3 linked regions of the Saccharomyces cerevisiae S288C genome follow. The gene in region 2 interacts genetically with the main gene of each other region. Each region holds a gene or a part of one and is shown on either strand. Other genes may lie near its edges.

The links. Genes that interact genetically often act in the same process or in processes that back each other up.
Region 1: mutations in YIR016W (region 2) and EFM6 together harm fitness more than expected from each alone (negative genetic interaction), as found in Saccharomyces cerevisiae (2 studies listed by BioGRID).
Region 3: mutations in YIR016W (region 2) and PEX14 together harm fitness more than expected from each alone (negative genetic interaction), as found in Saccharomyces cerevisiae (2 studies listed by BioGRID).

Annotation. Positions count from the first base shown.
Region 1 is NC_001146.8:586,607-589,436, forward strand, and holds EFM6 (putative protein-lysine N-methyltransferase), read right to left. Parts: upstream 1,242-2,830; coding exon 501-1,241; downstream 1-500. Other genes in the region: KSH1 (Ksh1p), read right to left, coding at 1-214; FAP1 (Fap1p), read right to left, coding at 1,657-2,830. UniProt on the Saccharomyces cerevisiae protein: S-adenosyl-L-methionine-dependent protein-lysine N-methyltransferase that methylates elongation factor 1-alpha (TEF1 and TEF2) at 'Lys-390'.
Region 2 is NC_001141.2:380,778-383,925, reverse strand, and holds YIR016W (uncharacterized protein), read right to left. Parts: upstream 1,299-3,148; coding exon 501-1,298; downstream 1-500. Other genes in the region: MET28 (Met28p), read left to right, coding at 1-370; ribonuclease P protein subunit RPR2, read right to left, coding at 1,544-1,978; VLD1 (Vld1p), read right to left, coding at 2,112-2,840.
Region 3 is NC_001139.9:214,709-217,798, forward strand, and holds PEX14 (Pex14p), read left to right. Parts: upstream 1-1,564; coding exon 1,565-2,590; downstream 2,591-3,090. Other genes in the region: protein geranylgeranyltransferase type I subunit CDC43, read left to right, coding at 1-503; LYS5 (holo-[acyl-carrier-protein] synthase), read right to left, coding at 570-1,388; NUT1 (Nut1p), read left to right, coding at 2,816-3,090. UniProt on the Saccharomyces cerevisiae protein: Component of the PEX13-PEX14 docking complex, a translocon channel that specifically mediates the import of peroxisomal cargo proteins bound to PEX5 or PEX21 receptors.

The sequences.
Region 1 (2,830 bases), on a different chromosome or scaffold from region 2:
TGTTAAATTGACTGATGGCCATCAAAATACATGCTAAACTAACATATGGACTGGCCCTTTCACCAACACGTGCCATTTTCCAGAAGGCCCCCAAAACCTCATGATTTTTGTAACGATCTAGGAGAGACGGCCACTGCCCATGAACATAAGAACATGAACAAATCAGTAACAATATCACTTGCAGAAGAGAACGAAAATTAAATAATGCAGACATATTCTGTCGTGGAAAAAGGACGCAACTTTGCAAAGTAAATCGATCCGGCTCTCTAGTTATTTTGCAAACGATGTTTACCGCTGTTCTGTCTTTATCCTTGAGTTGTCGTTGCTCACTCTATTGAAGATCAAAATTTCGCTCAAGAAGAGCAGTCCCACCATGCGTACACCACACTACAAAAATGAATGTTATATCGTTTTTTCATGAATTACAAATGTCTATCGAAAAGTTCATTACTAAATATAATAAGATCAGGATCATTAAGAGATAAATTCACTGTGTCAGGTTACTTCCTGATAAGCTGAAACAAGTGGGTTCTTTCCTTAAGATAATGTTCAAATTTACTAAAATCTGTAATTTCAAGAACGTCAAAATTTCTTTTAATCTTGTTGAAAAAATGTTTATCAGCTTTTCTTCTCTTCTTGTAAGCCATCAAGATTACAGGTGGGTTTATGCAGTGAGTGAGATCAAGTAGTGTTTTTTCTAGTAATGGAAAAGCTTCCTCGAGATACACACAATCAGCTGCCAAAACTAGATCAACGTTATTTGCTTGCATAGCACCTTCTTGAGGTGAGAAATCTGCCGACAGCGGCTCACCCCACCAAAGTTCCCTCGCAAGAACTTCATACTGAACTTCGTCCAGTTCTATATTTCTTTTCAATAGTGGTATCAACTTGTCAATGTCCGTAACATATACTTTAGTGCCATCGTGGAATGTGTTTTTTTCCAACAACCCCACGCACAATCCAACTAAACCTGTACCACTACCCAATTCTAAGACTTTTTTAAATTGTTTCGTACCATTGACCGTCTTACTTAGCAGATGGTCAACTGATTTCTCGAGTATGTACTCGCACAACAGTTCGCCAGCGATCCAGACTTTACCGCCACAACCACTTTCACCGCCATCTTCACAAATTTTCAATGCAGGCAATAATTTTCCACCGAAGGAAAGGTCTGTTTGACCGAGATGCTCCTTTGGCCTAGGAACAACTAGATCTCCAAACCCACCAAATATACTCTCCATACTCAATACCTCACTAGTCGCGTTTTTATAACGTTCTAGGGAAAATTATGGGCCATTTTTTTACATAGAGCCTGCTCATCATAACTTTTGAATTATTTAAATACGAAGAATTACTTTCAGTGTTTGGGTGTGAGGGACTTTTCGTTTGGTCAAGCCAAAAAAGCTTAAGAGAAAAGAAAAATCTCTTCTGGTTTTACTTGACTAGGTTTCCAAATTATAATATCCGTATTATTAACGTGACACTCAGTATTCTCCATTCGTTTACGGGAACGTTGATATGTAAACATATGCAGATCCTCGTATTTTAGCAACGACAGGGAGAAACAAGAAATGAGATAGGATGAAAAAAAATAAAAGTTAGATATTTCTATTTAATTAGAATTCCGCGTAATAAATAATGACACGCTATTATAGTTCATGTATTATTATCCATTACAGGACTATCCTCTTGAATTACGGGCGTATCCAACCTTCTTTCAAGTTCTTCTTCAGTTGAACACAACGAAATGGAATCGGCCAAAAATGCCTCTTTGGCCATAAAATCGAAGTGTCCAACCAAAAGCTCCATGTCACGTTCGGTATTCACGGATGCTGTTTCGTAATTTTCAGGATACACTAGTGCTGTTTTGCCATCATCAAGGATTAGGTATTGAGGATTCACTACTAACGTATGCTTGAGATGTGGTTCAAAAAATCTCCTTAGATCTTCGGCAGTATTTCCAGCAACCAAATTTTGAACCAAAAAACCATTTTTCTTAGCCACCTCTACTTTAGGTTCCGTATCTTGAACCTCGAAGTTGATTAGTTTAGCTGTGGTGCGAGCTTGAAATTCTTGTGCTTTCCTTTCCTTCTGCAATTGTTTAAATGATTCATATAGTGGGTAAGCTTCTGCTAATGATAAGACTGGTTTATTGCTTGCGCCATTATCTTCTTTCTTAATAAATACAGATCTCATGGGCTCTCTGTCCTGAGACTCGGAATATAGGCCGTAAGCTTTGGCTAGTTCACGGATGAAGTGGCGTTGAGGAGGCCTCATAGGTTTGAAATGCAAGCTTGAACGTGTTTTATCGTCCATTAATTTATTAAGAATAGCTTCAATTTGTGAACACCATCTTTCTTGCTTTGAATATACTGATAATGCTGCCTCTGTAAACGGTAACTGCAGTTCTTCAAATGTTGTAGCAACAGAGACCAGTTTTTTTAACGCATCTAGTTCATTACTTGTAAAATTATTGGTTTCTTCCTTAATTCCAAATGCCTCCTTCAATTCCTTTAGTCGTTTCAAAGCTTCACATTCTTCATTGCAATCCAGCACGGAAGATTCAGTTACACTTACTCTATCACTTTTTGCGCCACAAGTAACACTTTTTTTGATCCTTCCACATTTACAATAAATTTTCACTAGCGTGGCACAAGGTAAATCGGGACACTCTGTCTTACCATGGCACGGTTTAGGACATTCATGATTACAATTGAGCCTTTTTTGCCCACAGGTCTGTTTACACACCTTTTGGCAATTTCCTGGTAAATGACATGTTTTTTGGCAGGTATGATAACAGTAAGAGAGTGGTATCCCACATTTTATTCCA
Region 2 (3,148 bases):
TGGCCAGGATGTCTCGCAGTTTAAGAAGCTCCGCGAGCCGAGAAAGGGGAAGGTTGCCGCAACAACAGCAGTTGTTGTAAAAGAAGAGGAAGCTCCCGTGAGCACTTCTAACGAACTGGATAAGATTAAGCAAGAGCGGAGAAGAAAGAACACAGAGGCGTCGCAGCGGTTCCGCATTCGCAAGAAACAAAAGAATTTTGAGAACATGAATAAGCTGCAGAACTTAAACACGCAAATCAACAAACTTCGCGATCGTATAGAGCAATTGAACAAGGAAAATGAGTTTTGGAAAGCAAAGCTCAATGACATTAACGAGATTAAGTCTTTGAAATTGTTGAATGACATTAAGAGACGGAACATGGGCAGGTAGCCCGCGAAACGTGCGGGCCTGATGTCTTGTTTTTCCTCTCCAACTTCGATTTTTCGATTTTTCCGTTTCTTTACCTAGCATATATATACACACATCTATCTACATATAAATATATATATATGTATATTTATTATTTATAGCATTGCGCGTGAGACAAAAGCGAGATCTTTTCGTCCCACTCCGCATTGATCAAGGACCGTTTATATTCCACAGACTCTATCTCGCTGGGAGAGCACCATCCTATAGTACGAAAGTTTGTAATAACTCGAGCGTACTGAGCGTCTTCCAGTTGTTGTTGGCGGCGTAAAGACTGCGCGGCTGCAGATGTGACGATAAATCTCTCGGAATCTGGGCGGCTAGCGGGACATACTGAATGCGTATGTTTGTCTCTGGGCATACTGTTCCTTCGAAAGAAAATACTCGAGGCTTTGGCAAGAAAACTGAGTTTTTCTTGTTCTGCCGGAACGCTAAGGCTTCCAGTTATGTCTTCGCGGCCAGATTTTCCTTGGTGTAAGATTGCAGATATTGCGCTCACAGAACTACGGTGCCGCCGACTTTGAACGCGCGGGCTGGACGATGATGACGATGACATATCTAGAGCCTTGGATAGGTCTCGCGACATGGAACTGTCGTCGTCGTCTTCATCATCGTCGTCGTCGTCGTTCCTTGAGGCGTCTTCGACTAATGACGGAGCATGGATGGCGCCTGCGCCATCTCGCGATAGTGTCATGTACTTGTGAAAAGCCGCCGAATCGTCATCCACATCATCATGTGGACCGAGCAACGAGGGCAGCAGACCATCTATAGAACTTCCTCGCGAACACGGTCCTGGCTCTACACCTGGTCCTTGTTCATCATGAGTCAAAGTTTCCGTAGCAGTCACATCAACTGGTAGTCCGACGCCTAGCAAACACCTCGTGCCACTCATTACCGACCACAACACCTCCTTGCGGTGTTTATCCGCTATGCTGGCAAGACGGAATCCTACATTACCTTCTTCAAACGGGCGTCTCGTTTTTTTCCCTGTGTTTTATGTCGTAGTTTTCCCTCAAAATACAGGCACGTACCCCATGTATAGGGGCAAGGGGGTGGGGGGTCGGCTCTTAAAGAAAATCTGGAAACTCCGCATTTTTGTCCTGCTCAAAACATTGGTCCAAAACCCTACCAATAACCCTAAGAATTTAGTAGATTACCCTCCCGCTCCGAGTAGGTCCTGTAATTAGGATCGGCGCCAATATTAAAACGTTTAACGGTACCGCACCCACACATTACCGAAAGCGCTCCGTCGGATGTGATTTCCAGTTTTTTTGGGGTCCATAACAACCGATGGCATTTTTTACAAATTGTTCTCTTTATCGTAGGAAGCAGTGATGTCTTGGTTTTCTTACTAATTAGGTCCATTGATTTGATATAATTGCGTGCCAAAGGCGTATGTGCGTCTGTTCTTGCTTTCTGTCTTGCTCTTGTTTGGTAAGCGGATATTTGGTAGAGGTAGTTTAATCTATGGAAATGGTCCTGGTTCGCAATCGTCCTTGGTGGCGGTACTAGCAGAGTACCATTTTCGTCGATCTCAGGTTTCATCTTTCCTCCGTGTGCTTTCTTGCCCATCTTTTTGCTTGTCTTTTCTCTGTCGGCGATGTGGGAAGGACAGTAGAAGAACCACGTATTGTTTTATTTTCTGTTCATCTTTTTTTTCCGTTCTTTTCATTTTGGTAATTTTTTTTCTTTTCCTTTCTTGAATTTATTCGGCGATATTCAGTAGAGGAGTGATCTCTGTAGCGTCATCCCCGTCTGCCTGTTGAGGAATCGACTTGTCATGATTCTTGAGTACTATGAGTTCCGGTCCGGTTGCATCCATGTGCCAGGTATTAAGTTTGAGAATGTTGAGTGCGCCCTCTTCTTCTGCATTCAACTCCTTGACAATAAGTTTCACGTTCTGAAGACTCGAGCTCAGTGAGCCGTTTATTATTACAATCTGGCAGAAAAGTAATAAAATATCGAGTAGTACCAGAAGTAGCTTGCTAGGAAACGCTGTGGGTACCGGACAAGTAAATTCCCTTATCAAAAGCATTATCACAAATCCGTACGGTTTGGAACATATGTCTCTCGATACGTCTAGCCTAATGTGGTATACTATACAGTACGCTGTTTCTAGAAGTATTAGGCCTTGGTAATATCGTATGGCTTTGTTTATTATCATTCTTACAATAGGTGTTTCTAACCCTCTGATGGCAAGACTTTCATCATCTTCCTGATCATTGTCGCGGCCCACCTCTAAATAGTTCTTCTTCAGGTACCTGAGTGTCAATTCCTGAATGAAATCACAGAGCGATGAAATTATCCACCCCAGGAGGATCAAGAATAATGATCCATCTTTGATAAACCTCAAGTACAGGCAGCAATAAACGAATTTCTGCAAATTCGCTATCACTGACCTTTGTCGTCCATTGTCATCTTCCAAATGCAACATTTCCTTCCGATGCCCTGCTCCTTTCCCTTTCTGTATTAGCTTGTCATCTAAGCCTTCGTCATTGAAGTATCCCTTCCCTTTCTTTCCCTGGAGAAAAGCCATATGAGAAGTTTATATTACCCGGTTTAAAGTTTGTTTTTTTTTTTTTTTCTACCACTAGAATGCTCTCTATAGTACCCATGATGCATTAGTTGAACACTAGCAGGTCAGGTTTTGTACCCTCCCGAATTATGGCTATCTCCTCAATTGCGATGACATTGTCAATATGAAACTAAGTTGTCAATTATCCTAGTTTGCGGCCACCTATG
Region 3 (3,090 bases), on a different chromosome or scaffold from region 2:
GTGCCCACAATGAACCACACTCAGGGTACACATCTTGTGCGCTGTCTACCTTAGCTTTACTCTCTAGTTTGGAAAAGCTATCAGACAAGTTTAAAGAAGACACCATAACCTGGCTATTACATAGGCAAGTATCAAGCCATGGATGTATGAAATTTGAAAGCGAATTGAATGCCAGCTATGATCAATCTGATGATGGCGGTTTCCAGGGAAGGGAGAACAAGTTCGCTGATACGTGTTACGCATTTTGGTGCTTAAATTCACTACACTTACTAACAAAGGATTGGAAAATGCTATGCCAAACTGAACTAGTCACAAATTATTTGCTTGATCGAACGCAAAAAACATTAACTGGAGGCTTTAGTAAAAATGACGAAGAAGATGCTGATTTATATCACAGCTGTCTAGGGAGCGCTGCGTTAGCATTAATTGAGGGGAAATTTAATGGAGAATTATGCATACCTCAAGAAATATTTAATGATTTTAGTAAAAGGTGCTGTTTTTGAAGTTCAAACAGTAATAAGAGTCTATCGATTACATAAATGTGAGCAAGCGAAAAAAAAAAATTGGCATTATAAACCATCATTTTCGATGAAATAATCAATCAACGTAGATAAGCTGATATTATATAATTTTGGTCTGTTCGTGTTGATTTTATCACTGATGGACTTTGGCATACAGATAGTGACAATTTCGTTATTGAACCATTGAGAATGGAAAATCAATGGAACTTCATCCAGAGTTATGCACATAGAAGCTCCCTCAGCCGGAAAAAAGCTGATAGCGCCAAAATCTATTAGTGACAAGTCTGTGTTAAGGCCAGTTCCAGTAAATTTTGTATACGACTCCTTCAAGGACCATAAGTAAGTAAATATTGTGCATGGATCAGACGCTTTCAGTAAACCGTTAAATTCTCTTTCACTAAAAACTTCTTTAAATAGCTCCAACTCTTCCCTCCCGCCATAATTGCACGGAGAAGCGATATCAATTCCGACATCCTGGTATTCATCTGTACTTACACATTTTACGAGGAACATAGCTACATATTGTTCACCGATGGTCATGCTAAATGGAAGAAAACGATTGTTGTCTAAGAATGGCTTACCGAAGCTGCCCTTGTCAAATTTCAGCTCTTGAAAATTTAAGCCCGTTACTATAGAGCAGCCAAACAACTGCAGCAGCTGGCTGCATAGATTTGAACATCTATCGTGAAACGATTTTTTATTGAGGATTCTGGCTTGAGACGCCAATGGCAAAGTTCTCATTAATGCCTCGAACGTAAACTCATCCGCGAGTATATCCTCTTGAATTTCAACAACGAATATACCTGCCCATGGTCTTACACCTGCCACCTTTGAAACTTCGCTTACTACTTCAGTCGTTTTAACCATCCACGGTTTTTTTGCTGAGTGATTCTCTTTCTCCTCATTCTCATTTTAGTCATAGCGGTTTTAATAAGCGCCCGAAAGATAATTGTAAAACATATATTCAATGCTTAAAAATATAAGAAATTGCCCATCAATTTGAAAACTCAAGTAAAACAGAGAAGTTGTAAGGTGAATAAGGAATGAGTGACGTGGTCAGTAAAGATCGTAAGGCATTGTTCGACTCAGCAGTATCCTTTTTAAAGGATGAGTCCATTAAAGATGCTCCACTTTTAAAGAAAATCGAATTTTTAAAATCCAAAGGGTTAACAGAAAAGGAGATTGAAATAGCCATGAAAGAGCCCAAGAAAGACGGTATCGTAGGCGATGAAGTATCGAAAAAAATTGGTAGTACTGAGAATAGAGCCTCACAGGATATGTATCTCTATGAAGCGATGCCACCAACGCTGCCCCACAGGGATTGGAAGGACTATTTTGTGATGGCTACTGCCACAGCTGGGCTGTTGTATGGTGCATATGAAGTAACTAGAAGGTATGTGATACCAAATATTTTACCAGAAGCAAAAAGCAAGTTGGAAGGGGACAAAAAAGAAATTGATGATCAGTTCTCCAAAATCGATACAGTCCTCAATGCCATCGAAGCGGAGCAAGCTGAGTTTAGGAAAAAGGAAAGCGAAACATTAAAGGAACTTAGTGACACGATTGCTGAACTGAAACAGGCGCTTGTGCAGACAACAAGAAGCAGGGAAAAGATCGAAGACGAGTTTAGAATAGTTAAACTCGAGGTGGTCAATATGCAAAATACGATCGACAAATTTGTTTCAGATAATGACGGCATGCAAGAGTTAAATAATATCCAAAAAGAAATGGAATCTCTGAAAAGCTTAATGAATAACCGTATGGAATCCGGTAATGCGCAGGACAACAGATTATTTTCCATATCTCCTAATGGTATACCTGGCATAGATACGATTCCATCTGCGTCTGAGATTCTTGCCAAAATGGGCATGCAAGAAGAAAGTGATAAAGAAAAGGAAAACGGCAGCGATGCTAATAAAGATGACAATGCTGTTCCAGCGTGGAAAAAAGCAAGAGAACAAACTATTGATAGCAACGCCTCCATTCCAGAATGGCAAAAAAATACCGCCGCCAATGAGATCAGTGTCCCTGACTGGCAAAATGGACAGGTCGAAGACTCCATCCCATAGCGCAATTCTATGTAAGTAATTAGTTTTTTAACGGAAATTGTAATTGTAACTGTCCTAGATACTATGGACATTCAATCTGATTGTTACCCGGAACATTTGCTTTTGAAAGGCATTTTTAGTAGCACTAATATATTGGCAGCTAATTGAAACAGTAATCTACAAATATGAGTAAGCTAAACCACCTCAACAAAGCTATTCGTGGCTAGTATATGACCTTGAATTGCCATGGAAAAAGAATCAGTATACAACTTAGCACTAAAATGTGCTGAGCGGCAATTGACCTCCATGGAATTTTCGAACCTTTACAAGGAATTCTTTAATGAAAAGTTCCCGTCTTTGATTCAAGAGGAAGAAGAAGATACAACAACAACTGCAAATATAAATGAGGTCAAGAAAGCGTCCGATTTGGTGGATACACCCAGCAACAACACGGCTGCTACTGCAGATACTACACACTTACACGAGGCTCTAGATATTGTTTGCTCCGATTTTGTTAAAAT